Linked DNA regions of Xenopus tropicalis. The protein of the gene in region 3 interacts with the protein of the main gene of each other region in a pairwise test. Links are inferred from orthologs where the notes say so. Each region holds a gene or a part of one and is shown on either strand. Other genes may lie near its edges. The genes, in order: ncoa5, cirbp, khdrbs2, dock2, hnrnpr, hba4 and chtop.

What was found.
Region 1: the proteins of khdrbs2 (region 3) and ncoa5 interact in a two-hybrid assay, tested with the Homo sapiens proteins (2 studies listed by BioGRID). The two-hybrid records come from large-scale screens. The link is inferred for Xenopus tropicalis from reciprocal best matches to the Homo sapiens genes KHDRBS2 and NCOA5.
Region 2: the proteins of khdrbs2 (region 3) and cirbp interact in binary tests that used the Homo sapiens proteins (3 or more experiments, as listed by UniProt). The two-hybrid records come from large-scale screens. The link is inferred for Xenopus tropicalis from reciprocal best matches to the Homo sapiens genes KHDRBS2 and CIRBP.
Region 4: the proteins of khdrbs2 (region 3) and dock2 interact in binary tests that used the Homo sapiens proteins (3 or more experiments, as listed by UniProt). The two-hybrid records come from large-scale screens. The link is inferred for Xenopus tropicalis from reciprocal best matches to the Homo sapiens genes KHDRBS2 and DOCK2.
Region 5: the proteins of khdrbs2 (region 3) and hnrnpr interact in binary tests that used the Homo sapiens proteins (3 or more experiments, as listed by UniProt). The link is inferred for Xenopus tropicalis from reciprocal best matches to the Homo sapiens genes KHDRBS2 and HNRNPR.
Region 6: the proteins of khdrbs2 (region 3) and hba4 interact in binary tests that used the Homo sapiens proteins (3 or more experiments, as listed by UniProt). The two-hybrid records come from large-scale screens. The link is inferred for Xenopus tropicalis from reciprocal best matches to the Homo sapiens genes KHDRBS2 and HBZ.
Region 7: the proteins of khdrbs2 (region 3) and chtop interact in binary tests that used the Homo sapiens proteins (3 or more experiments, as listed by UniProt). The two-hybrid records come from large-scale screens. The link is inferred for Xenopus tropicalis from reciprocal best matches to the Homo sapiens genes KHDRBS2 and CHTOP.

Annotation. Positions count from the first base shown.
Region 1 is NC_030686.2:20,087,902-20,091,313, reverse strand, and holds part of ncoa5 (nuclear receptor coactivator 5), read left to right. Parts: intron 1-3,260; coding exon 3,261-3,376; intron 3,377-3,412. UniProt on the Homo sapiens protein: Nuclear receptor coregulator that can have both coactivator and corepressor functions.
Region 2 is NC_030677.2:99,957,614-99,961,801, forward strand, and holds the start of cirbp (cold-inducible RNA-binding protein), read right to left. Parts: upstream 2,801-4,188; 5' UTR 2,746-2,800; intron 2,193-2,745; 5' UTR 2,185-2,192; coding exon 2,082-2,184; intron 1,980-2,081; coding exon 1,873-1,979; intron 1,400-1,872; coding exon 1,279-1,399; intron 650-1,278; coding exon 556-649; intron 472-555; coding exon 410-471; intron 157-409; coding exon 143-156; 3' UTR 1-142. UniProt on the Homo sapiens protein: Cold-inducible mRNA binding protein that plays a protective role in the genotoxic stress response by stabilizing transcripts of genes involved in cell survival. Acts as a translational activator.
Region 3 is NC_030681.2:95,041,043-95,044,542, forward strand, and holds part of khdrbs2 (KH domain-containing, RNA-binding, signal transduction-associated protein 2), read left to right. Parts: intron 1-2,951; coding exon 2,952-3,098; intron 3,099-3,500. UniProt on the Homo sapiens protein: RNA-binding protein that plays a role in the regulation of alternative splicing and influences mRNA splice site selection and exon inclusion. Binds both poly(A) and poly(U) homopolymers. Phosphorylation by PTK6 inhibits its RNA-binding ability.
Region 4 is NC_030679.2:32,747,079-32,750,578, forward strand, and holds part of dock2 (dedicator of cytokinesis protein 2), read right to left. Parts: intron 2,893-3,500; coding exon 2,709-2,892; intron 132-2,708; coding exon 34-131; intron 1-33. UniProt on the Homo sapiens protein: Involved in cytoskeletal rearrangements required for lymphocyte migration in response of chemokines. Activates RAC1 and RAC2, but not CDC42, by functioning as a guanine nucleotide exchange factor (GEF), which exchanges bound GDP for free GTP.
Region 5 is NC_030678.2:82,773,225-82,777,326, forward strand, and holds the start of hnrnpr (heterogeneous nuclear ribonucleoprotein R), read right to left. Parts: upstream 2,801-4,102; 5' UTR 2,603-2,800; intron 1-2,602. UniProt on the Homo sapiens protein: Component of ribonucleosomes, which are complexes of at least 20 other different heterogeneous nuclear ribonucleoproteins (hnRNP). hnRNP play an important role in processing of precursor mRNA in the nucleus.
Region 6 is NC_030685.2:40,402,025-40,405,855, forward strand, and holds hba4 (uncharacterized protein LOC100216102), read right to left. Parts: upstream 2,402-3,831; 5' UTR 2,316-2,401; coding exon 2,221-2,315; intron 1,343-2,220; coding exon 1,138-1,342; intron 715-1,137; coding exon 586-714; 3' UTR 501-585; downstream 1-500. UniProt on the Homo sapiens protein: The zeta chain is an alpha-type chain of mammalian embryonic hemoglobin.
Region 7 is NC_030684.2:144,107,987-144,112,228, forward strand, and holds the start of chtop (chromatin target of PRMT1 protein), read left to right. Parts: upstream 1-1,442; 5' UTR 1,443-1,552; intron 1,553-3,422; 5' UTR 3,423-3,439; coding exon 3,440-3,504; intron 3,505-4,242. UniProt on the Homo sapiens protein: Plays an important role in the ligand-dependent activation of estrogen receptor target genes. May play a role in the silencing of fetal globin genes.

The DNA.
Region 1 (3,412 bases), on a different chromosome or scaffold from region 3:
TTTAGTGGTATCCCTCAGGGTTCTGTACTGAGTCCACTTTTCTTTAACTTGTTCAATAATGAAGTGGGGGTGGGGGGGCGGTGTTGTAAGTAATGTGTGACCATTTGCATGACACAAAACTCTGCAGCCAAATTAATTCTATCCGGGATGTGGCATCCTTGCAGCAGGATCTTGACAAACTAGCAATCTGGGCGGCTAAGTGGCAGATGAGATGTAATGTGGATAAATGTAAGGTCATGCACCTGGGATGTAAAAATATGCAAGCCACTTATACCTGCAAATCCATAATGGAGAAGGACCTTGAAGTCCATGTAGATAATAAACTTGCCTACAGCAAGCAATTTTTACAAATAGAAATAAGTGCAATATTCAGTGTATGCTCCTCACTTCAGATACCTTGTGTCCCAGGTCAAATACAGTTCAATAAAATACTCCAAAGTGCCCTCTTCTGCTTTAGACTTTGCAATGAGGTCTTTTGAGGAAAAGAAAAAGAAAAAAATATATAATGCAATACTGTTATTACTTCATAATGTGCACTCTCATGTGCTTTTTAACACCAGTGATAACTTTTACTTATATCACCCTTTTGTGCCCAGTTGTGATATCTCTAACCGATTGCCAATCTACTTACAGACCCCCTTGGGTTTATATGGCATCCAATTGGTTTGCTTTTAGCTCACGACTCTGTATTCCCACCTCTTAATTTCAGGCAGTATTAGGAACCACTTCACATAGGTACATTTCCAACTTAGCAACTTTAGGTTATTTCCAAAACTTTTCCATTTCCCTTCCCCTTCTGTGGACTTACTGTGGGATAATACATCAAGCAATGCCAGTCAGGAGCTACAAGGGCAAACAAAGGGCATAGATTTGCAGGAGTAGGACTATTGGGCAGTATGCTTTTTAAATTTTGACTTGCATTCTCCTTTAAGGGGGGATATGATAACTATGTATAAATATATAAGCAGCTCATATAATCTCTCTAATGCTTTATTTACCAGTAGGTCCAACTGACACAAGGGCACCCATTCTAATTAGAAGAAAGGAGGTTCCGCCTAAATAAGTTGTGGAATTCTCTCCCTGAATCAGTTGTACTGGCTGATACATTAGATCAGTGCTGTCCAACTGGCGGCCCGCGACCCCCCTCTGTGTGGCCCCCCACCTGTCTGGCTGCTTTGATGGCTTACCTTTGAGTAAGCATTAAATGGTATCAGTACTGAGATTAACTGGCCCCCTGCATGGTTCTCACCTCAGATTCAGGCTGTAATCCCTCTGTATTGTTTAAAAATGTAATCCCCTGTGTTTTTCACACCTTTTAATCCCTGCATTGTTCACCCCCTGCAGTGTTCACACCTCAGGCTCAGACTGTAATCACTCCCATTGTTCACTTCTTCACACCTCAGACATAGGTACTGTAGGCAGAGTATGGCACATACAGCCAGCATAGGGCAGGTAGAGTATGGCACACACAGGCAGCATAGGTCAGGGAGGGTATGGCACACACAGGCAGGGTAGGGCAGGCAGAGTATGGCACACACAGGCAGGGTAGGGCACACAGGCAGGGTAGGGCAGGCAGAGTATGGCACACACAGGCAGCATAGGGAAGGCAGAGTATGGCACACACAGGCAGCATAGGGAAGGCAGAGTATGGCACACACAGGCAGCATAGGGAAGGCAGAGTATGGCACACACAGACAGCATAGGACAGGCGGAGTCCTGCCTGTGTGTGCCATACTCTGCTTGCCCTATGCTGCTTGTGGGAGGTGAACCTGGCAGGGGTTTGTTGTGGGAGTTTGTTAGCAGTTGGAAATAGCCATTAAATCGTCCCTAAGGTGTGTAATTATGTACTGGGGAGGAGGAGGTATATGGAATTTAAGGGTATATCTTAATATGACATAATTCTTTCACATATGAATGATGGTCGATATCCCCACAGTAAGGACCAAGCATTTGGGATTTTGCTGTGCTACCACCATTGTGATAAAATATTTGTGGTTTGAAGTGGGTGTGGTTTCAAAAAGGGGAGTGGTCAAAACTGGCTTCCATTAGCGGCCCTCCACCATGTATGCTAGAGAAATTCTGGCCCTCGGCACCGTAGAAGTTGGACAGCACTGCATTAGATGGATTTAAGAAGGGACAGCTTTTTAGCAAGTGAGGAAATAGTGTTGTGGGAGACAGCTCTTAGTACAAGTTGATACAGGCACTGGTCCGATCGAGAAGAATTTTTTTCCCCCTCTGCTGCAAAGTAAATGGATGGAGATGGATGAAGTATACTTTTGCATGACTGCAAAGGATAAGTGACTTTATTTTATTGCTGTGACATTTATTCACCCTGATATTCCTCCAGTTTGGGCTTCCAGGAGTTTGAGTTTTGGAACCATTGTTTTAAAGTATGTATTATGGTTGCACAAATGCCAAATGCTTTTTCTTGTTATGCCAGTGCTTTTAAGCAAACACAAATTTGTGTAATTTTTAAAGTTCAGAAGGTAAGGCTCTGATACCTCTCGGAGCTTCAAATGTATTAACTGAATAAGGTACAAACATGACATCATTAACTACATTATATATTTCTCAGTTTTTTTGTTTTTTTTTGTTAAATGTTCATTTACACAAGCCTGGGTGACTTTACTTTAACCTATTGTCTAGTTTATTGAAATAGAGTCTGTTGCATTACACCTTTTAGAAAATATTGTCTTGTTATCCCCACTGTTTTCCCTTCAATTCAGGAATTTCTCAATCAGCTTCTCTGGACCTAACATAAATGTAACATTAAAAATCTCTTCAGTTATATAAATATATAATAAACAAAAATGTATATATTTTCTATAAATTGTATAATAAATACAGGCATGTGAAAGATAATGCCTTACATGGGTTTGTACAAAATAACGGTCAAATGTGTGTGTGTGTGTGTGTGTGTGGTGTTCCTCCTGCAGTGAATATAACTCATTTAAACAATTACTGTATTGTAATATATAGCAGTGGAACCCTTGGTCTGGCTTTGGTCCATAATGATTTGGGGCATTGTATTTGGCCCACAGACAGCCTTTTGGACTTGTGTATTAGTGAGAGAGCTTGTTCAATGACGAGTGAATACAGGCCACGTAAATGTAGTTAGAGAGTTAGTAGACCTAAATCAGCCAATTTATGCAAAATTCAAAAAGCAAATGCTTTTGAATTTTGCCCTAATTGGCTGTTTTTTCATTAGTTTAGAATCCGCAAATGTTGCACAAATTAAAGTCTGGTTGTTTATCTTTCAGACGTGATGAGCATTTTGATAGATACCGTCCTGATGATCTTTATCGTAAGAAAGATGACATCCTTTTGGACCGTTACCGGGATACATTGGATAGACCGTTAAGGGAACCTGAACCTGGTTTGTTCTTAAGCTTATTCTTACAAGGCTTAACAT
Region 2 (4,188 bases), on a different chromosome or scaffold from region 3:
TTAGAGAAGCTGTCAGGCTAACTAGGTCTATTAAAAAAAAAAGTGAACACAAGTAGATATACTACACAAACGATTCGGCGAAGCTCCAAAAATCTTTATAAATACAGCCATTGGAAGGACGATCTTGAGTCAGGAATGGATTTTACTCTTGTGTAGCTGAGGACAAGAAGCAGGCACAGTTGTAAAGGCACAGATTCCAGCATCACCTCCCCTAAACTGGTACTACATACCCTTCCCAGCTATGTCTACCCAACACTTATTGCCTGTAGCCAGGACAGAACCAACACATGCATTAGAGGCAAATTGAGAAATTGAGAAGTTAAGAGCCATCACTGGATGGAACACGAAGATCACAACTGACGTACCACCCTTTCCACCCTCCTCTCTAGTAACTTCCCCACATACTTACTATAGCTGTCATAACTATCCCTGTAGGATCCTCCGGAACGATCACCATAGCTTCCATGACTCCTGCCACAAGAGAGACACAGGCCATTGTCAGGAGAACAAATATCAAAATAGAATGAAGTCTTACAGAGCATTCACAAAACTTACCTGCCATAGTAATCCCTGGATCCACTGCTTTGGTAACCTCCACTTCTGTTTTCAAAGCGGCTGCTTCCACCATATCCTCTGTCTCCACCACCACCTGCACAAAAAAAGTTCTTGTGTTTTATAAAACTACACGAATGTTAACCTGTCCCAACTCTAGTGCAGGAAAGAGATAAAAGCCCAGGTTATAGGGCATGTTAACCTAACCAAAAATAACAAATTATGGTTCTCTATCAGGCAATAATGCCTTTTATGAGGGTTGACATACCCTTTAAAAGCCGCTACAAAAAGTATCCTTATAGTTAATTCAAATGGGTAGGGACGGGAATGTCCGTCTGCAATTTGTCTACCGGGAAAGGTTAACCAATATAGTCATGATTCTTATGGTATACCTTATTTCTAAATTACTGTCTACATAGCAAATGAACCACCATCTAAAATTCACTCAAGGAAAAATAAAAGTTGTACTATTAGTGTGTAGGCAGCCATCTCTGTGCATTGTGCCCGATTCTGAGCTTTCAGGAGCCAGCACTACACTAGAGCTGCTTTCAAGTAACCTGTTTCCCCTACTCCCATGTAACTAGTGCAAAGCTAGACTTTCTTCTTATTAATTGTTATTCTGAGATCTACTGGGAGCTAACTCTTCCCTTTGTATTATGGAAAAGTTTACCAGAACATTTATATTCCAAGTCTATATTGCAATGTCACTAAAGTATGTATACCAACCTCGGCCTCTGCCTCCACGGAAGAACCCTCTGCCTCCAGAAGAGCCACCTCTGTAACCACCTCTCCTATCATTGGAGGACTTGCCAGCCTGATCAACACGGATTTGACGGCCATCTACAGACTATATATAAAAAAAAAGAATTTAAAAAAGTTATAAAGAAGCCATATTGTCAGATTTAATGTTTAATGGACATTTTTAGCCATTTAAGTCAGTGTACTGTTCACTGAATTACACTTGTCTTTGTGCTTTGTTTAGTCATGATTTATAACTATACACCTTTTTAGAACATGTTATTCTAAGCCAAAACAGTAATTGAAATTAATAAGTAAATTAAAGGGCCTTCACAGTTCAAGAAAGGCAGTTTACCTAGAGGTTGCAAAATGCAAGGCGGTTACCTAGTGCCTTCATAGCATTATTAATTAATACAGTGAGCATCTAGTGGTAGAATGCAAATACCAAGGACAATATGCCACTACAAAGTGTGTTACATATCCCAGCAATAAACACCAACCACCTGGCAGTTATAAACTAAAGACAGTGAATCAGATTTGCTCTTTACACCTAAAAGGATTTGTTACTATGTGTGCATTTACCTTCCCATTCATTGCCATCATAGCATCCTTGGCATCTTCAGGATTCTCAAATGTGACAAAGCCAAAGCCTCTGGATCTCTTGCTTTCCCGATCCTTCACCACAACCACTGAAAATACACATTGCTTTAGAAGGAGGAAGAAAAAAAAAAAAAAGAAAAAAAAACTGCTTAAGAACTAATTTTAAAAAATAAAAAAAGGCCCACACATACCTTCAGCAACCTGTCCATATTTGCTAAACACTTGCTCCAAGCTTTCCTCTGTGGTTTCAAAATTCAGACCACCGACAAAGAGTTTTCCTTCATCACAAGACATGGTGAGACCTAATAAAGAAAGACGACAAAGCCACATGAAGCGCTTTCCAATATGGCCGCCACCACGTGGTAGAGATCCGAGCCTTGCCGCAGTAGCACAATAGAAGGCGGGAATTCAGCCCATGGATGACGTCACTTACGGTAACGTGTGAGGGATTTATTTCGCCATCTACACGCACAATCGCTAGGATTTTTACATCGACTCTTCAGTCGACAGTTTCATTGTTTTATTAAACAAAAAAAAAAACTACGCGCCAAATAATGAATTGTGCTCATATACAGCTCTTCGACTAGCACTACGAAGAAAGTAAGAGCCTTCCAATAAATTAAATAAGAACCTTCCAATAAATTAATTTAAGCCACATGTAGATTCGTGCCAGTTTTGCCGCGAAGGCGCGAGTATGACACGGTATTTGAGGCGTTGTAGAACGAGGAGTTTTAAACTACTAAATGTGACCACGTATACAGAATACCTACAATGTATTGGGCAACAATTGACACATGAGCTAACCTCCACAATTCACACGCTGAAACCAGAAGAAAAAGGAAAAACCCCACTTACGTTCTATGATCTTCGGACGATACAACACAAGTTGGAAGCCGAATGCGAAGTGCGCAATTCACGCCGGAACTTGGTCATTTATACCAGGAATAACCCCGCCCACATCATGAATAATTTATTTAGTTCCAGTTCGGGCGACACCATTTGGTTGATAGCGCGATATTGAAAAAAGATCATTCAGAGCAATGCGGATGAATAAAGAGTTCACTATTTGTATTGCAGTGGTTAGTTAAAAACTATTACCACATGATGTGTTTATTTTTGTTCATTTTCTTAAACTATAACCATAGTGTACAATAATTTCATACCAATGGACGCTTCTCAGAGGAGGAGTCATATTAGAATTGACGATCCAGTCGCCTGACCGCTTCTTGGGATTTATTTGCTGGTATTGGCTGAATATTGTCGCTGGGAGGATCTCTTTGTTACTGCGTTGCGCGTTTGAACAAAGAACAAGGAGAGAGCTTAGGCGCCATTTTAGGGCTGGGTGGCACATGTTAAAACTCGGCTATGAATCGTGGGTTTTTTTTGTTTAAAATGGTGTTCGGATATCCTAATTAATGATATTATTTTAACGCTATACCGGGTAACATTAATGTTTAGTTATTATTCGAAACCAATCTTGACATTTTCTTAAAGCGTTTAGGAGTGGCGTTTGGCAATTCCAATGCCGAGCTAATGGCGCCGGAATCAAAGGCGCCGGAGGTTCAGAAAAGGGTTGCTGGAAAGTTGATTGTTACTGTATGCATTACCCTGTTGCAAACGGTGCTCCGTTCTTTATACCTATAACAGAACGAATGGCGTCTTTACGAATAGTTTTTATGTTTAATTGCAAGAACATAAGTTAAAGGTGTTTATAAAGGAAAAAAAATAGCAATCCCGGTGCTCGACTTTCATCAAAATGCCTGTTAGATTTCGTTTTGCAAATCTCCCTTCCACCCCTGCTTTCCTACAGTACATTCTGATAAAAAAAGAGGTGATAATTATCGTTATTGAACGTATTATGGTTATGCTTAAAATACTTATATTTAACATCGTTTTAATAGGTGAGGATATATCTAATCCCAAACTTGGGGTATGCAGCCTTTTAAAGTTATTGTGCATGTAAACTTTTATAAACCCTATGTATATACTACTATCATTGATTATTACGCACTATATTTTTCAAGTATTGCACTACTACTGTTTTATAATCTTGTACACAAAGTTTTCAGTCACAGAGCCACCCTGCCCCCAAACGTGGTAATAAAAAGATTAAACCCAGTTTTCACTGGTTTAAATATATTCCTTCCTCATATGCCCCTGTCACTATTGTGGTCTTTGTTGCTTCCAGGTCAGGGACAGAAGAAACATTTTTACACACACACACACACATACAATTATAAAGTGCAGCTACACTTTCATGACATTAAACTGGCAACATATAAAATATTTTCTGTGTAG
Region 3 (3,500 bases):
GCCATGTTTCTGTATATACAGAAAAAATGGACATTTGTGGTTAAAAATACATTTCTACACTTATTTATATGGTAGAATAATTTATCTGCCTCGTCACTGGGGTGAAGATTCTCTTGCGATCATGCAGTAACTATATACAATATGTGGGAGGGCATATATTTTTTTTAGAAATGTAATTTAGTTCTTTTAAGCAGATTGATCAAAATTTGCATTTGTTTAATTTGAAAGGTTTTTGAACTGATTTATTAAAAAATATGATGAAAAAATGCAAATACCTCAATTCGTAAACTTTACATAACTTTAATAGATCGATTAGCTCCCCAAGAATTAAAAAAAAATTGAATAACTCAATGTGAAACAACCACAAAAGTGACTATTCTACATGACCCCACAAACTTTTACATGGTGTATTTCTACATTCACATTTTACTTGGTTTTGACACATAATAAATATTATGTAATAAATAATAAATATTGAATTATTTTTTTATAATTAAAAAATGTGATAATTAGCATACGAAAATACGAATCACAAAAAAATGAAGGTTAGTGATGAGCGAATCTGTCCCATGTCACTTCGTCATAAAATTTGCGAAACAGCGAAAAATTTGCGAAACATTTGTCGCACAAATTTTTTTTTTGTCACCCGCGCCCTTTTTGACGCAACCACGCCCTTTTTTGACGTGACAGCGCATAAATTGACACAACCGCACCTGTTTTATACGTGATCATGCCCAATTTGACACAACTACGCCCTTTTTTCACGACTGTGCCCTTTTTTGATGTGCAACGAATTTTTCCGTGGTGAATTTTCACAGAAGTTTTGTGAAACAAATCACCAATGGTGAAATGCGGAAATTCGCTGCAAATCCATGCCTGCCGAAAAAATTCGCTCATCACTAATGACGGTTAATTCATCAGGCTTTTTATGTTAATAGTGTATTTAATTGCCAAAAACTATATGTTATAAATGCAACTTTGTTCACACAATTTTAAAATAAATAGCAAAGATCATAAGGAGGTTGTCAAAACAATTTTTTCTTTTGCTTCTGAAAATTTTGCTTTGAATTATAGTTAATCCTTTAGGAATTATTGCATCAATACATTATTGCAATCAAGTTTATAGCATTACAGGCTTTTGATAATTGTGACATATGCCTAATGGTATATTTGGTATATTCCCTAATTGGACATTTACTTCAGAATCTTGCAAACTGTGAAAATGAGTTTTGCTTCATTATTTTCAGATATTGTATGCACACATTTATGTAATCAATAAACCTCCATGTTGATTATTTTTATGGGGTAGTTTTCAGGTAATTTTTCTTGGTATACATTCACGTGTATTGAATGATTTACACCCTAGCACAGGGGTCCCCAACATTTTTAACCTGTGAGCCACATTCAAATGTTAAAAAAATTTGGAAAGCAACAGAAACATCCAAAAATTTCCTGGTGGCACCAATTGATTGGCTATTAGTAGCCCCTACATGGACTGGCAGCCTACAGGAGGATCTGTTTGGCAGTGCTCATCGTTTTTATGTAACTAAAGCATGACTTTGTGCCAGGAATTCAAAAATAAGGACCTGCTTTTGGGCCCCTGGGAGCAACATCCAATGGGTTGGGGAGCAACATGTTGCTCACGAGCCGCTGGTTGGGGATCACTGCCCTAGCACAATTGCTTATAGGCAATAGTAACAACTATTATGTGTTTCTAATGTAGCTATTGCAGACAGATTGCACATATATATTTGTCCTGTTATTTTCTTTGTGTTTAGGGGTTTACTTACCTAAGACAATAAATAGCAATACCCTAGTGCATACCATCCATTTAAAGAATAAATACACACATAACAAAAGCTTGTAAATTTACCTTGTGTGGGCCAGTGGAATACAAAGAATACAAAATTTGTTAAATTAGTTAAATTAGCCTTATGACCTTTACGGGGCCTACTGGTTGGATTTTCTTTTTTTTAGTTCAGATTTTTTAGCACTAAAAGTTGCAGAAAAAAGTCAACACTACTCACTTCATGTAGAAGTAAATGGTAAATGTCTCTTTTCTTCGCTGGAGGATCCATTTTTTGCTTCAAAATTTAACAGGTTTTTAGATTATTGACGCTGTTTTTTTTGTGCAACAGTTTGAAAAAGTAGAGATTTTGGTGCAACTAGTCAAAAAATGTTGCAACTTTCCTGTGACTTTTTCCCACACACACTTTTTCAGTTCAGACTTTTTAGTAAATGTCAGACATTTATGGAAATAAGTTTTGAATTTTTAAAAGAAAAAACTGAGAAAAGTTAGAGTTTTAGTAAATCTGTCCCTCAATGTTTGCCTGAATAATAACTGTAAGCTGCAAGAGTGTTTTTCAAATACCATGCCAACTTTTATATACTTAAACACAAAATATGCAAATAGCCAAAGATATGCAAAACCAAAAACCATAGGCATATGGTCACACAGTGCCAGTGCCAATAAAGGGCTACTCAATATGCAATTGCCCTTGAAAGTTACACAAAATTGATGTATTTTTTTATGAACTGGTTCTTGGCTGTATAAAAGGTCTAATATGGTGATGAAATGATGTAGAGCAGCTTTTACTGATTATATTCTAGATTTATGTAATATTTGCACAAGGAAATTTCAGTTGGTTTATATAATAATAACAAACTTTAAATTACAAGGTTATCTTTTTGTTTTCAAAAATATAGAATTTCAAATATGGATTATTTTTGCAAAGGGATTATTAGACAGGTTGACAGACATATTTCATAAATTACTTAATTACCCCAAAGCCCTGTCAGATTTTAAAATAATTCCAAAAAAAGAAAAAACATTTTTCTATTTTTTATAATGTATTTTATTTATATAGTTTGACATTTATTGCCTAAAAATGTAGCTTGGTTTAAAATCATTGCAAAAAAACATTTCTATAACTTTAAATAATATCTTTTAGGAGGAAGAATTAAGAAAGAGTGATGAAGCAAAACATGCACACTTAAGTGATGAGCTTCATGTATTACTTGAAGTATTTGCTCCACCAGGAGAAGCTTATTCTCGCATGAGCCATGCATTAGAAGAAATCAAAAAATTCCTTGTTCCGGTAAGTGTCAAAAATGTATCAGTATTTTTTATACATCTAAAGAGTTTACCCATTTTTGAGGTTTGAGGAAAAACGCAAAATCGACTTTTTCTTCTGTGATGGTGTTTTTTTCCTCAAGCACTAGCTTATTTTAGAAAAAAAATGCTACAGAATATTTGGGGTCTTGTATTTTTTAAGAAAAGTTGCACAAAAGCGAGAGTCACATTGTTCCATTGCTTTTGATGAGGCTGAAAATGTGGAAGGTTTAAATGAAATGAAAAAGTTGTTTGCGACAATTCTCCTGCATTCACTTAATAGTGACTATCCAAGGTTTTTAAAGAAAATTCTCATGTATATTTGCGTTTTTTCGTTGCATTTTTTCATGAACTGACAAAAAAAAAGCAAACTCGAATTTTGAAATTT
Region 4 (3,500 bases), on a different chromosome or scaffold from region 3:
ATGTTTCCAGCAACATGTTCTTATGTAACATACTTTCACAACTTCTTCCCCATCCACAATCTTCAGCTTTTCTAAATTTTCCTGCAAATGTTCTGGCTTTGTGCGCCATTTCAGGAGTCCAAGCAAGCCAACTTAGAAAGAAAAAATAAGCAATGGTTTGTAAAAGATAATAATAAGATAATAACAATGCCCAACACAAACATAATCACACAAAATGAAAGACAAGCGGGTACAGTAGTAAACTGTAATTGGGTGGTATTAGGCAGTTATGGGGTTCTGTCTATGATCTAGCACAACTAATCACGTTTTATTCCCAAAATTGTAGCCCTACATAAGTTCACCCCATATTTTTTATTTTAGATATGTTAACATTTTTACTTAATAGAATAGGGGGCTGATTTATTAACAATTGAATTTGAGATTTAGGGGCCGATTTATTAAAACACGAGTTCGAATCCCGAATTGGAAAAATTCGGATTGGATACGATAATTTCTGAAAATCGTAAATATAAAAAAAAATGCTTACGAAAAAATCGTATTAGTCTAAAAGCTGGCGAGTTCATGTAGAAGTTAATGAGAGTTGCCCGGGCTCTAAATGAGTTTAGCCTATAATACAACAAAAATTTTAATTTATGATTACAAGTGGCACAATCCAATACTAAGTAGCAGATTTATCAAAATGTGAGTTTAGATCCTAATACATAAATCTCACCCACGTTCTATTCATTCCTATGGGATTTTCAGAAGTGTATTTATCAAATGGTGAGTTCTAATTTTCAACCATTGATAAATACACTTCAAAAAATCTCATAGGAATGAATAGAACATTGGTGAGTTGTACATATGTATGGGATTTTAAGAAGTGTATTTATTAATGGGTGAAAGTTAGAACTCACTTTTTGATGAATACACTTCTAAAAACCCCATAGGAATGAATAGAACGTGGGTGAGTTTTTATGTATTAAGCGCTAAACTGACATCTTGATAAATCTGCCCCTAAGCTTTATTTATTTAAGACTCTTCTCGATTTTTCTAAAATAGTCTACAAAAGGCAAATAAGTTTCATAAATCAATAATAGTCTTTAGGAACCATTAGTTCAGCTGGGCCTTTTTCTGGCAGGATTAAATAAAAACAACAGTTTTTAATTCTATTGTGATGCAAGTGCAAAAAATATCATGAATAAAGTTGTGTTAACAGGAAAAATAATGTATACCATCCTCTGAGAAAGCGTCCAATGACAAAAATCAATTTGTAGGGCGGAGCTCAGGGTCATTGACATACATATGTCCCTTTAGTACGGTAGATTTATTTGAATTTTGGATAAATTTATGATTGTTTTGTGTACCAAACAAATATTTTATGTGTGATACTGCCTATTATTAGTATTACTATAATATTATTTATTCAGGGTCTAGGGCAGTATTCCCCAGTGCATCAGGTGACTTACTAACTATGACTAACTACTTATAAAAGATATAAAGGGGTTGTAGGCGCCCAATTAAAGACAATTCTAAGAAACTTTCTATAACATTCATTAAACATGTATTACACACTGGACATTATGTTGCCCTGTTAAAATACAGACAAAAACCACCCAAAGATATCATGCCATTGACAAGCACTGAATTCACTGTAGGTATATCATTCACATTCAGTAGTCACCGGAAAATACATAGGCAATTCTTTTCACGCAGTTACAAGATTTGACTGACGTACCCATATTGATTTCAGTGTTCAGCAATGGTAGGGTATTTTCAGCCATTTCATCTTCATTTTAACTTAAGTGACAAAACTTCTCATGTGTCACTGCCCTAAAAGTCATCTAAATGAAACTAAAAACAGTATTGTTCCTTGCTGTTCCTTGCTCTGCTCGTTCTGACTGACAGACCTGTGAATAGCATGCAAGGAATTGTGGAAAATGGAGTCTTGGCAGGAGACAAGCTGATTTTTGGGATATGTAGATAAAGACAGTTAGGCCCTGGTTTAAATTGCAATTAAATTTACAAGTAACATTAAAAAACAAAAATACTTTCCAAAAATATTGGAAAGTTGCTTAAAATTTTATTTTATTAAGTACATTTTTACAAGGAGTTGTATGTTCTCCACATGTCTGTGTGGGTTTACTCCAAAACCATACAGGCAGTTTAATTGGCTTCTGACCATAGTGAATGTGATTGGGACCCAGCTCCTCTGGCGCAAGGACTGCAGTATAAGCTCTGTGTATATGCGTTGGTGCTATATAAATAATACATAGCTTTTAGCCGTTTTACAAACAATTTTTAAAATGACATTTAGGACAATGACAAACAGGGAGATATGGTACCTGCGGTAGTGCATCTTTTTCTCCCAAAAATGCCATCCCCTTCGCTAACATTGGAATCACCGCAAGTAAAATAAATTACTCAGGGATATTCGGCTTAATTGTGGGAACATGCAAAAGAAGGCAATTTCCCATGATAAAGCCTAAGTAATGTAATTTACTTGCTTCAATGTAAGTGTTAGCAAAAGGGCTGGATTTCTCAGGAGGTCTGTCACCAACGCGGTAGCGCATTTTTACTGTCTAACAAATCTCCCCGTGTGCCATTGTCCTTATATAGGGAGTTGTGTTGGCAATTCCATTATGTTGAGTGCACCTGGGTAGTGGATTATGTATAAAATAAACAGGCAGTGGTTCATAATATGAAGATACCCAGCGCAATTGACCTACCATTCTGAGTTAATTTAGTTGAACAAACAAGGGTGGAAATGGAGAAGGCATCTCGTGAGCTCACAGACAGGCCTCCCGAACTACTGCTGTTCCTGCTGAATGTGGATCCTTTATTATCCATTTGTTGACGGGTGAAAGGAAAATGCAAATAGGTACTGCCGTCTTCCATTTTTTTACTATCACCCTGAAAGCAACATAACACCACTTCAATAAAAAAATATGTAGTGGAGTAGAATATTATTCTTCAAAATATACTTTTTTTTTTTTAATATAAATGTCCTATACAAAATGCACCAGTCTTTCAAACACACCATTCAAGAGGAATGAAACTGGTTTTCTTGCTTCTCTTATAAACCACTACTCCAAATCTGAAGGAGAAGAAAATGTAAAACCTAAGTAAGCTTTATCACAAAGGTCTATGTAAATACAACCATAAGCACTCACAGAAACGCTGCACTGAGTCCTCTATCAAAGGAAACACATGATTTCTTCTCTTTTTTTGTAAACATGATGTTCCAGTGTCTGACTTCCTCTCTTAGAAACATCCTTAATACCAGTGGCCAGAGTATGCGCGGTTCTCTTCTCTCTCCCCTCTCCTGCTCCTCCCTTCCACGAGAATGCTAAGAACTCCCTCCCCCTCCCTTAGGAATGTGTGATCTCAGCTATAACGGCTGAACTGCAGGCAGGAAGCTACTTAAAACGGCAGCTGCTATCTTAAGCAAATGGAGAAAGCTTCTAAAGCTGTTTTCTCAGGTATGGTAATGGTTTCTGCAGAATAAATATATTGTTCTA
Region 5 (4,102 bases), on a different chromosome or scaffold from region 3:
CGGCAAATATGCACTACTGCAGTAAACCACAGCAACCATGACTGATTCAGGTAAAGAGTTACTTTTATTACTTTACTTGTAGAAGACTAATGGAAATCCTGTACAAATTAGTTGCAGTGGGGTATGGAATGTGGAGTGGGGTATGAAAACTTAACTCAACCTGCAGATTTAAGGTTGTCATACACGCACAGATATTATCATATGAAACAAAGTTTTGTACGATAATCGGTGTGCGCACAGTGGGAGACAAGGCGACCGCTACTGGTAAAAGCCTTGGATATCAGTTGTCTCACCAAGGACTGAAAATTTTGAAGGGGCCTGAACATTGTAAAGTTAATGCTAAATTGTCAGATGGGGTAAATAATTTCTCTGTTTTTACCTGCATACCTGACGATTCAGCTCTTAACGTTACTAGAGAGGATGAAAAATCTTTCATATGCCCAATGGTTGTGGGAAAAATCGTAATTACCGCGTGTATGCTGCCAATGTATGAGGATGGTCAGGCCATTCCTAAACACCTCTCATAACCTCCCTACTCTTCAAAAGCCCCTTTCAAGAAACCAAATCTGATATTACTCGGAACAGCTACTAAAAAAAAAATTTTGATTGAGAAGAGATGTCCTCATCCATATGCAAAGCAGAAGGAATTTTTTGTAAAGGAAACTCCATTTCACACCCTATAGACAGAAACTCACCACTGGGTTTTAAAGCACAGCCAGGGTAGAAATCCAGTCAGCCTACTGTCTTGGCAGTGCTTTATAAACCCAGTGGGTAAGGATAGGGTATAGAAATTAAGAGCAATCCTGGGCTTCCTTCCCAGAATTCCTTCTGCTAGGGATAACTACACAACAGCATTTTAATTTGGTAGGTAAAATACCAAGCATTTCTTACAGGTACTATATTAGCTAAGTTGACAGCACTTTAGATGAAGCAATATGGAGCTACTAGTAGCAGCTACTTGTCACTGCTACAAAAACAGACATTTACTGATAATCCTCTCTACGAGTGTTTAGCAGATGCAATTCTCAGTATTGTCTATGGTAGGGTATTTTCTGGCATTTAGTAGCGGTGACAAGTAGCTGCTACTAAGTAGTTCTGTGTGTCTTTGCCCTTATCCCATTTGAATAAAGTATAGGCATCATTTTTCTTATCTCCCCAGCCTGTAAAAATGTATATAGTAATAAAGAAAAGGGCTACTAATCCTGCCTCTACAATCTTCAATCCATTGACTAAAGGCAGCCATACATGGGCAGATTTTGGCTTCTGATTCAGCTCCTATAGTCCAAGTTGGTAGCTTATCTGCCCATGGGGCACTCCAATGGGCCTACCTGACCAGAGACCCAGGCAGGTGAACAATTACAATCACTGGGTTTTTAATAAGATAATTGCTTAAACCCCAATCACTTAAACACTAGATACAGTTTCCATGTGTTAAATTTTTTTTAGGGTTGATGGTGTGCTTTTAAAGGACTGTGATCTTAGCATCAAATAGTTCAAAATGAGCACCAGAACTGGGGAAAAAATAAGATAAGAAATGAGGATCAACATCAAGTTATCTTAGAATGCAACTCGGCTTTTTGTTATGTTGACAAAATTGCAGGGGAAGCAACATATAAGAACCATTTAAGATCTGTATGTATTTACATTTAACCAACGGAGTCCAACTTGTGCGCCTGTTATCCACTATAGTACATTTTCAGCGAGCATATTAAATTAAACAATGTCAGGCAGTTGTGTCATGCGCCCATAGGCAGTCAGGGTCTCTCAACTGACAACTAATTTACTTTGTTTAGAAAACAACCACCATAAACAATCAAAAGTTATGGCAAAATTCCTTGCCACATTACCGATAGGTAAATCACAACACAAAACGGTTACTGGAGCTTAGCTCCCTTTATAGTGAGAACAAAAAACACTTTCATTTTAACGCATCATTTTAATTGCTACTAATTAATTAACTGTACAATTAGAAACTGACACCGATTCCAAGTGCCAAGCCAGAAGAGACTAAACTGTGTCTCTACAGCTGCTGCAAAACCTCACATATCAAAGCCCTGTCCAACAAAGCTGGAAACTACATTTTCAATAGCTATGAGTTACATAACATTGCACACTATGCAATATAAATAAGAGTATAAAGGGCACATATATTAACAAATGCAATAAATGACAGCCCATAAAAACTAGCCCGTTTACTATGTTAGTGCCCTAACGCAATTCAGCACCCAAGTCATGGACCTCTACATACACTGAACACAATAGATGCTGCCCATTTAAAATGAATGGCATACACCTTCAAACAAGCTACAATGAACATTTAACCATTCCATATTTTTTCCGGAATTCCATTAGCATTATACATTGTTTTGCAGTGATTTTTTTTATTGAGGTCTGAAGGATAGTATTCATTACTGCGGAATACACACCTAACTGTTCATACAGTTTTACATCTACTCCAATTTAAAACGCAAAAAGGACAAGTACAATGGCGGCGAAGGTTGTCATACTTGGCTGCTATTCAGGTTCAAACATTACAGCTTTGCGGAAACCGTGGCCGGACGCTCAGAAGCGTACGCAACGAGAACAGAGGAAGCCTACTCACCTGCAGAGCTATGGCCCTCTTGCCTCACGCCCGCTGTTACAGTGAGCTAGTAAAATGGCGCGCCTCACGGACTGCGAACCACCGCCTTCTCTATCCCTACTAAGCCAATCAACAATACTGGCCGCGGGGTCCACACCACCAGCTGCCAAGGACTAGCCTATTGCGGGTAGGAGGAGACGAATAAGCGGGAGGGAAGGCGTTACACCTCAGCCAATTGGGAAGCGGAGTACATAATAGGCAATGGCAGACTTATGAAAGAAGTGGTTCGGATTGGTGATTGCGAGAGAGTTTGTAGCTAATGAAATAGCTGCCTCTGGGATGGCTAAGGATGGAAAGGAATGGGATGTGAAGCTTTTCGGGGTGGAAGACAATGCTGCTGGCTTTCAATGAGCTATTGTTTGGACCGATTAATATATATCGCATGTACCAATATAATGTCTGTGCTGCATGTTTAAGTCCAGTTTCGTTTACACACACATATGCATACATATATATGTACGTACAAATATGCGCACTTGCAGTACATTCGGGTACAGCTTAGATGAAAAGATGAAAGGCACGGTTATATGTATGGGTGTAAAACACCAAAGCTGCCAAGGAGAGTCAGTGTTCGCAGCGTTGACATTTCTACTCTGCATATACCACAACTTTCACAAGCAGTGATGCAGTGTAATTGCATTTTTGTTGTTCATATATCATAAATACCAGTATGGGCTCTATTACCCGGAAAGCTTGGGACCTGGGTTTAAAGTAATGTAATGAAAATCAAGATGGCCTCATAATGTGGAGCTTTTCTGGGCATTGGGTTTTCAAATAAGAGACCCCAAATGCTGTTGCTAAAAGCAGTACATTTACAACAGAGGGAACAGTGCTTGTTATACACAAGTTTCACAGAGGAACGTGACACAGGTTATCACATTACATTAGTAAGCGCTGTTTATAGATATAGCTATTAATATCACTCACAATGATCTCTGTGCAGTGTCTGCAGTCATATTAGTCAGTTCCAGTAATTCCAGGGCTGGTGATCAAAATCCAGGCCTAGCCCATAATAACAATAATACAAAATTTGCTAATTGTGACACAAAAGGGGTGGAATTTGAAAACTACATTCTGTGCATTCATGAGTAATATTTACAATTTATATGGATGTATATTTATATGAATATGTTTAGTTATATAGGGTTACTTGTGCCCTGCATCACTATACCTAATATTAGGAGAAAAGACAGATGTCAATATAATAATAAAATATAAATACAAAACATAGGGGCACATTTACTAATCCACGAATCCGAATGGGAAAAATTCGGATTGGAAACGAACACTTTGCGACTTTTTCGTATTTTTTGCGATTTTTTCGTCGCCGTTACGACTTTTTCGTAGCCGTTACGACTTGTGCGAATTGTAGTGACTTTTTCGTAGCCGTTATGATTTGCTCGTATATTGTCACGACTTTTTTGTATTGAGCGCTCGTAAACGGCGGGCAAATCTTTCAGA
Region 6 (3,831 bases), on a different chromosome or scaffold from region 3:
CTGTGTCACTGGGTGACTTCGACTCAAGGTTAGAAAAAGTGGGCACACTCACCAACCACCAATCACAATTTACCTATTGACTTTTATTGGTTTCAATTTAAACTGCTGCCATTTTTTAACTATTAATCCTTGGGTCCCTAAACTTTGCAGAGTTAGTCACTGGGTAACTGCAGTTCCAGGTTAGAAAAAAGAGGCAGAGCCGCCAACCGCCAATCAGATGTCACTCGTTGACTTTCAGTGGGGAAATTAAAATTGCTGCCATTCAGACACTATTAAAACCAGGGTCCCCAAACTTTTCACAGTGGTTTTTACTATATAACTGTGGTCCAAGGTTAGAAAAAGTGGGCAGAGCCAACAACAGATCAGATTTCATTCAGTGACTTCACATTTTTCAACCCAACATGAAGTTTGTTCTCAAACTTCCCTTTCTAGTTTATTCTGTTGTTTTAACCAATAACCCCATGAAGAAACTTTCCTTAAATAAGTGTAAAACAAAACAATTAAAAATAAGATTAAAACTTTATTGATGAATCAGTTGACACTGGTGAAAGGGTCATTGTTTTTTCATCGTTTGTCTTTGTTCGTTTATCTGTATTTGGAAACCAGAACAGAGGAGACAACAGAGAGGAACTTGTCCCAGGCAGCTTGTGCATCAGCGTTGAATTCAGCAGGGAAGTGGATAGCCAGAGTCACCTGGATGGAATGAGACAGCAGCTACAAGAGAGCAGATACAGATAGTTACATTAGAGATCAATTCTACAATGTTCCATGTCTCTAGTCAGGTAGCATAACTAACTTTAATAACACATTGTGTCTAAATATGTTATCTATTCCAGGGCATTTTGTAATCATAGGAAATAAACTGCAGGCGTTGGCCCTGTAGTTTCAACAAGATGACTCAGAATAATAAAATAAATGATAGTTTTCCCTCTAAGTTTATTAGAAGGTTAAAGCTGGCATTATAAAGAGAGTGGCAGTGGAGTGGAGAGAGTTGTACACTGATATACATTTTGCCAATTCTTTAAGAGAATTAGCCCAGTATTGCACAGAAAATGACAAGTGCTTACAACTAGCAGACACTAAATTTCTACTTTCCACTGAGCTAATACATTGGAAATTAGCTACCCAGCTACTTACTTTGAAGTTTCCAGGATCAACTCTCAGTTTGTAGGCATGCAGGTCACTGAGGGCAGACAGAGCGCCAGAAATGTCATCCAAGTGACTGGCAGCATTTCCAATGGCTCGCAGAACTTTTCCTCCATGAGCACTAAGATCCTTAGAGCCATGGCTCAGATCAAAATGGCTGAAGTAGGTTTTGGTCTGAGGGAAGCTCAAAAACAACCTGCAAGAAACAAACCATTTATAAACAGATATTTTAGAAGCATAAGGGATGAGCATATGTGCTGAACTACAACAAATGTCATACAAGTGTAGTAATGTGCCAATAGCAACTAATCAGCAATTAGATTTGAACAGTCTACTATAGTTTTTTGGTTGATTGGTTGCTATTGGCAACTGCAGTTGTGTGAGTCAGCACCTAAGTTCATAAGTTAGTCCTTAAATGTATAATGCACAGTGCTGCTGGATGGCTGGGTAAATAAAAAGTACAGTGTTTTGCAAAAAAAAAAAATTCTTACACAATTTTAGGCAGTCTTTACTGAAATGGCATTTACCATAGATGCACTGAACTAAAGTTAAGCAACTTTCCACAATACATAAATTAAACATTTTCAGTTGTTTTAAAGTTATTTGTAAATGCTATCATACTTACTGCTATGAAAGTCAGTGATTTCCAAATATTGTTTTTTTTTTGTTATATTACTTAAAGCTTTTATAAACAAAGTATCATAAATTAGCTATAGCAGGCAAAAATAGTGATTACTTTACCACTGTTAGTGGTAATGCTGACAGAGATAGGTGACAACAAAGATATTACTATTACAGATGAAACTATTTAATTATTATTTATACTATAATAATTACTATATTACAAATGTAACTAGTTATTAATATTTATATTATATTAAGAAATTGTGGTTTTAGAATGTTTACACACAGACACACACACACACACACATATATATATATATATATATATATATATATATATATATATATATATATATATATATATATATATATACACAATGTATTTTTAATATAAAATAAACATATTTTTCTAAACAGTCATAAAATAATACTAATCATGTAGTAAATTACCTTTCCAAAGCCTCTCCTCCAATCTCATCAGCATGGCCAGACACTTTACCCCAGAGGGAGGCAATAGCAGCCTTCTCAGCACTAGAGAAAGTCATTTTTGATGAATGGCTTAGGTATTCTGCAGCTGAACTAGACAGTACCTAAAATGGCTCACTTTTACCTTGCTTTTAAAGCCACAAATTCATTTTCTATTGGCTCTCATATTTGTTACACCCAAACTCTTATCTTTAAAACTAAGAAATGATGATCAGGAATCTATATTGTCTGATGTTATTTATCTCCACATACAGTAAGTCACGTATGTAGAGAGTGACGTGAATGATAATGGGGCTGAATAGTCTTATCATATACTGGTCCATGCAAGCAATGACTCATCATAGTGCCAAAGCTTTGTTTGTAATGTACATGTTCTGTTTCCAGAAGGTCTCTCTTATAGTTAGTATACATTATTGTCTTCAACATTTCCTACATTATAAACTTTGTGTCCAAACTAAACATATATAAAGGTCAGATTTATGGCTAATTCATTCTAAATTCATTGATAACTTGTAATGTAACATGCATATTAAATGTATCCACTTAATTTTACCCAATATTACTACTAAGTAGCAAGGTGAAATACAACAGTGCTGTGTGGTACCTGTTAGGCAAGGCGTACATACCTCTGCTTTCTTTAGGACAAGCCACAAAGCATGGTCACCCTGTTGATGGGCAGTGCTCTCAGAACTGCACTGCAGTTGACATTGTACAAGCAAATCTGACGTTGCAGTTACAGTAGAAGTAAATACATAATATATATATTTTTAACTAAAATTTAAGTAATTAATATAGCATATATTATCATTGAGAGTTATATAATTCCATTCTTTTAGTGTTAAACACATGAACTTATTTAGAATATCAGTTTGAAGAGAAATGGCACGCACTCTTTGGTCCACTAAAACTTGTCTTTATTGTAGAGATCTTAAAACAAAAAGGTCCTGACGCGTTTTGTATACAAAAGATACGTAGTCATAGGCACAAATTTCAAATGAACACAAACAGCTATTTAAAATAGAAAAGGGGAAATGACATCAAAATTCCAATTAATGCATATGCTAATTATTAACCCTTTATAGATGTTTTCATGATCTCCTAAAAACATTGGTTTTAGAAATATAAGTGAGATACAACAGTTTTATACTGGAATGCATCTATTGCTACTTTTTAGACAAAATGTATACAAATATAATAAATAAATACAATGTTGCAAAATTTATATAACTGACATTATCCATTAAAACTTGAACCCATTAAAACTTGAAAAAAGGGAATGTAGCCAAACTGAGCCTAACAGCACCACCTATTGGTCAGACACAGCACATTACATCAAATTTTAAATTCAAACCCTTTGGCTGCCGTGTACCTAAATTAAATATCCAATATGCTTCCCTATGAAGAAGTCTGGATGTTATGTCACCGCCCCTGTCAGAGGGAAATAATCTCTCAACGCCGTGTATTTTTAAAAATGCCATATCTCCACCACTGCATTCCTTAAAATGCCTTGATACCACTGTACTTGTACTCTCAGAGACAATCTGATTGATATGCTCTCGCAATTCTGCATTTTAA
Region 7 (4,242 bases), on a different chromosome or scaffold from region 3:
GAATCTGCCAATAGTCTAAGGTAGATATATATACACTGCCTCCCCCAAGGAGTCCATTCGCTTATCCACTCAGGGCATTGAACTTGCACAGGTCTATACAAAACCTTATTGGCCCATATGGCTTAGGGACCAGGACTATGGAGCTATGCCAGTCACTATTAGACTTTTGAGGGGTGAGATCTGACTTTCACCCCTGGGTCTCTTCCTACTTTATATGTCTTACCAGGGAGTTCCGAGAACACGTCTGTAAACATAATTTCTCTGGCCACTGTGAGTTGCTGGCCCACGGGTACCTGGGGGCTTCTTGCTCCTTTACCAGTGGGACGATTTTGCCCCAACACACAGGTTCCACAGGGGAGGGCGCTGGTATTAGTGAGGGATAGAAGGGCAAATCCATTCCCGGTAAGGGGATTCCCCACTTGTAAATGGGACAATGCCATAGTGCTCGGTTACCTGCCCCCCCCCCCCACAACTGATTACCCAGAGTTCCACATTGACATGAAGAATTAAGGACAGGGTGTTGTTTATGGACGGCCAGGTACCATCTGGAAATATCCGCTTAATACCGGGTCCCAGCTTGGATACACATTCCTATTGGTTTTTGCTGTCTGCTCTCTGCTTCAAGACAACATAAGTGACTTTATTACATTCTTGGGAATGAGACCGGCTTCTAACAAAGACATTAGTGTGTGCTGCCTAACGGAGACATTCATGAGAAATGGTCCATTATATTAGTGTGGAACATGGGAGTTCAGTCCAGTACCATCAGTGGGTTCTGCTAGGCCTGTCCAGTTGATATGTAAGACCAGCGGCTGTGAAAATAAGACATTATAGAATTAAGTCTAAAAACAACTGGACTTTTCTGAGTTTACATTTCACCACTCATCTGAGTGGCTTCTTCAGAACTGAAGAAGCCACTGGGATGAGTGGTGAAATGTTTTCAAGAAAAAAACTCAGAAAAGTCCAGTTGCTTTAGACTTAATTCTGCTAGATACTGTATATCATGGCCTGGATGAATGGGAATGTTCATAGACACATTAATGCTGCCATTAAGCAGCACATGTAACACAGTTCAGTTCAGGACCTGTACCTCAGAAACAACAAAGTTTTGTTTTTTAGCTAATAATAACGTCAGATATAGTTTAGCAACCCCTACATTCTGAGATTCTGCAATGTAAAGAGCGCAATTGCTGAAAATGAAACTAGTCAGTTATGTAGGTGAGTGTTTTGCGTGCCCATCCCAAGATGGCGGCGACCTCTCGTTGATTTGTAGCGCATTTCCCTTCCCAAGATGGACACCCATCCCGGGCAGGTATCCATAGTAACCATCCACTAAGAGGCTCGGAAGGGGCGGGGAATGGAGATACGTGGCTCGACGCATTAAAGCCGCCTCCATTTTGCCGGCGTAGGGTCAGTGTTAGGCGCCATTTTGTGCTGTGTGTCGGGAGTAGAGCGATAGGCAGGGAGAGTCAGTGCTACCGTAGCCCTCTTGCTTTTATTTGGGGGGATCCCGTCCGTTAGCCAAGCGCACCCCGGACTCCAGAGCCGCTCGGTGAGTGTGAGGGGAGGGGGTACCGGGCTCGGTGCTGGGGTATGAATGGGGGGCCGGGGGTAACTGCTTCCCACGCCCCTGGGCATAGAGGCCTGGGGGGCTGAGAGGTATAGTTCTGTTTATGGGACTGATTCTGGGGGGGCAGGGTACTAAAGGGCTTTGGGGGGCTGGGAGGGGGGGCCAGGGTACTAAAGGGCTTTGGGGGGCAGGGTACTAAAGGGCTTTGGGGGGGGGCAGGGTACTAAAGGGCTTTGGGGGGGGCAGGGTACTAAAGGGCTTTGGGGGCAGGGGTACTAAAGGGCTTTGGGGGGGGGCAGGGTATAAAGGGCTTTGGGGGGGCAGGGTACTAAAGGGCTTGGGGGGCAGGGTACTAAAGGGCTTTGGGGGGGGGCAGGGTACTAAAGGGCTTTGGGGGCAGGTCTAAGCTTTGGGGGGGCAGGGTACTAAGGGCTTTGGGGGGGGGGCAGGGTACTAAAGGGCTTTGGGGGGGGCAGGGTACTAAAGGGCTTTGGGGGGGGCAGGGTACTAAAGGGCTTTGGGGGGGGGGCAGGGGTACTAAAGGGCTTTGGGGGGGGGGCAGGGTACTAAAGGGCTTTGGGGGGGGGCAGGGTACTAAAGGGCTTTGGGGGGGGCAGGGTACTAAAGGGCTTTTGGGGGGGGGCAGGGTACTAAAGGGCTTTGGGGGGGGGGCAGGGTACTAAAGGGCTTTGGGGGGGGGCAGGGTACTAAAAGGGCTTGGGGGGGCCAGGGTACTAAAGGGCTTTGGGGGGGGGGCAGGGTACTAAAGGGCTTGGGGGGGGGCCAGGGTACTAAGGGCTTTGGGGGGGGGCAGGGTACTAAAGGGCTTTGGGGGGGGGGCAGGGTACTAAAGGGCTTGGGGGGGGGCAGGGTACTAAAGGGCTTTGGGGGGGGGGCAGGGTACTAAAGGGCTTTGTGGGGGGGGCAGGGTACTAAAGGGCTTTGGGGGGGTGGGCAGGGTACTAAAGGGCTTTGGGGGGGGGGAGGGTCCTAGCCGCTTTTGGGGGGCAGGGTACTAAAGGGCTTTGGGGGGGGGGCAGGGTACTAAAGGGCTTTGGGGGGGGGGCAGGGTACTAAAGGGCTTCTGGGGGGGGGGGGGCAGGGTACTAAGGGGCTTTGGGGGGGGGGGCAAGGGTTTTAAAGGCTTGGTTGGAGAGGGTTAGTCTTTGGGGGGGATTGGGGGGGCAGGGTACTAAAGGGCTTTGGGGGGCTGAGCAGGTATAGTTCTGTTTATGGGACAGTGATTCTGGGGGGGCAGGGTACTAAGGGCTTTGGGGGGCTGAGAGGTATAGTTCTGTTTATGGGACAGTGATTCTGGGGGGGCGCAGGGTACTAAAGGGCTTTGGGGGCTGAGAGGTATAGTTCTGTTTATGGGACAGTGATTCTGGGGGGGCAGGGTACTAAAGGGCTTTGGGGGGCTGAGAGGTATAGGTTCTGTTTATGGGACAGTGATTCTGGGGGGGGCAGGGTACTAAAGGGCTTTGGGGGGCTGAGAGGTATAGTTCTGTTTATGGGACAGTGATTCTGGGGGGGGCAGGGTACTAAAGGGCTTTGGGGGGCTGAGAGGTATAGTTCTGTTTATGGGACAGTGGTTCTGGGGGGGGGGCAGGGTACTAAAGGGCTTTGGGGGGCTGAGAGGTATAGTTCTGTTTATGGGACAGTGGTTCTGGGGGGGGCAGGGTACTAAAGGGCTTTGGGGGGCTGAGAGGTATAGTTCTGTTTATGGGACAGTGGTTCGGGGGGGGGCAGGGTTGGGTCGGTACCAGTGCTGCTCATGTCCTACACTCCCTGTTTAGAGTAAAGGGGACTGTGTGTTACAAACACGTGACTAACTTTGCTGTGTCCCTTGCAGGTTTGCCAGACTTCAAGATGGCCGCCCCGTCTGCATCTAAAGTTGTGCTAAAGAGTACCACAAAGCTGTCGCTGAATGAGCGGTGAGGAAGCCCCACAGGCCGGGCAGCTGCTATAGCATATGTAGCCCGTGTCTCACACTGCCTCACATGGGCATGCCTCGCCCCGTGCCCACCCCCCCTTAAACACAAAAGTGGGCGCCCGCTGCTGCGGCAGCTGTACCACAGGGGGCCGGGCCTGTGTGTGAGATTGTCACTAGCAGTTGGTAAAGTATAATCAGGCAATGTGATACACTCACTCCCCCCCTTCTCTTCCACACGTATGTACATGGGTCAGAATCTCAGCTGCGGCCTGGTAGCATGTTACCTGCGCTGCGTTACACCCGCTGCCGTGCCCGGGGGGCGACACATGCCCGCGTGTGGTCGCTCCTGTAAGAGGCATGATTCGGGGGTCTCTCTCCCTGCCCAGAGGCCCTTTAACCTCGTTCTAGGGTCTTGTAAGAGGCAACCGCTTTGCTCAGTCCATTCCCTGCATGTGTCTGCTCTTGCACCCCCTCATTTCTTGGGGTCCCCCTGGGGTTTAACCATCCCATTCATGCCTTCCTGTTCCATCTGTACCCCTCTCGTGCCATGGTCTTTCCCGTAACTGGTGCAGTTGGTATTAAAGGGGAAGTTCACCTTTGAGTTAACTTTTAGTATGATGTAGAGAGTAAATTGCAATTGGTCTTCGTTTTTTTTTTTTTTCACTTTTTGTTCAGCAATGCTCTAGTTTGGAATTTCAGCAGTTATCTGGTTGCTAGGGTTCAAATTACCTTAGCAACC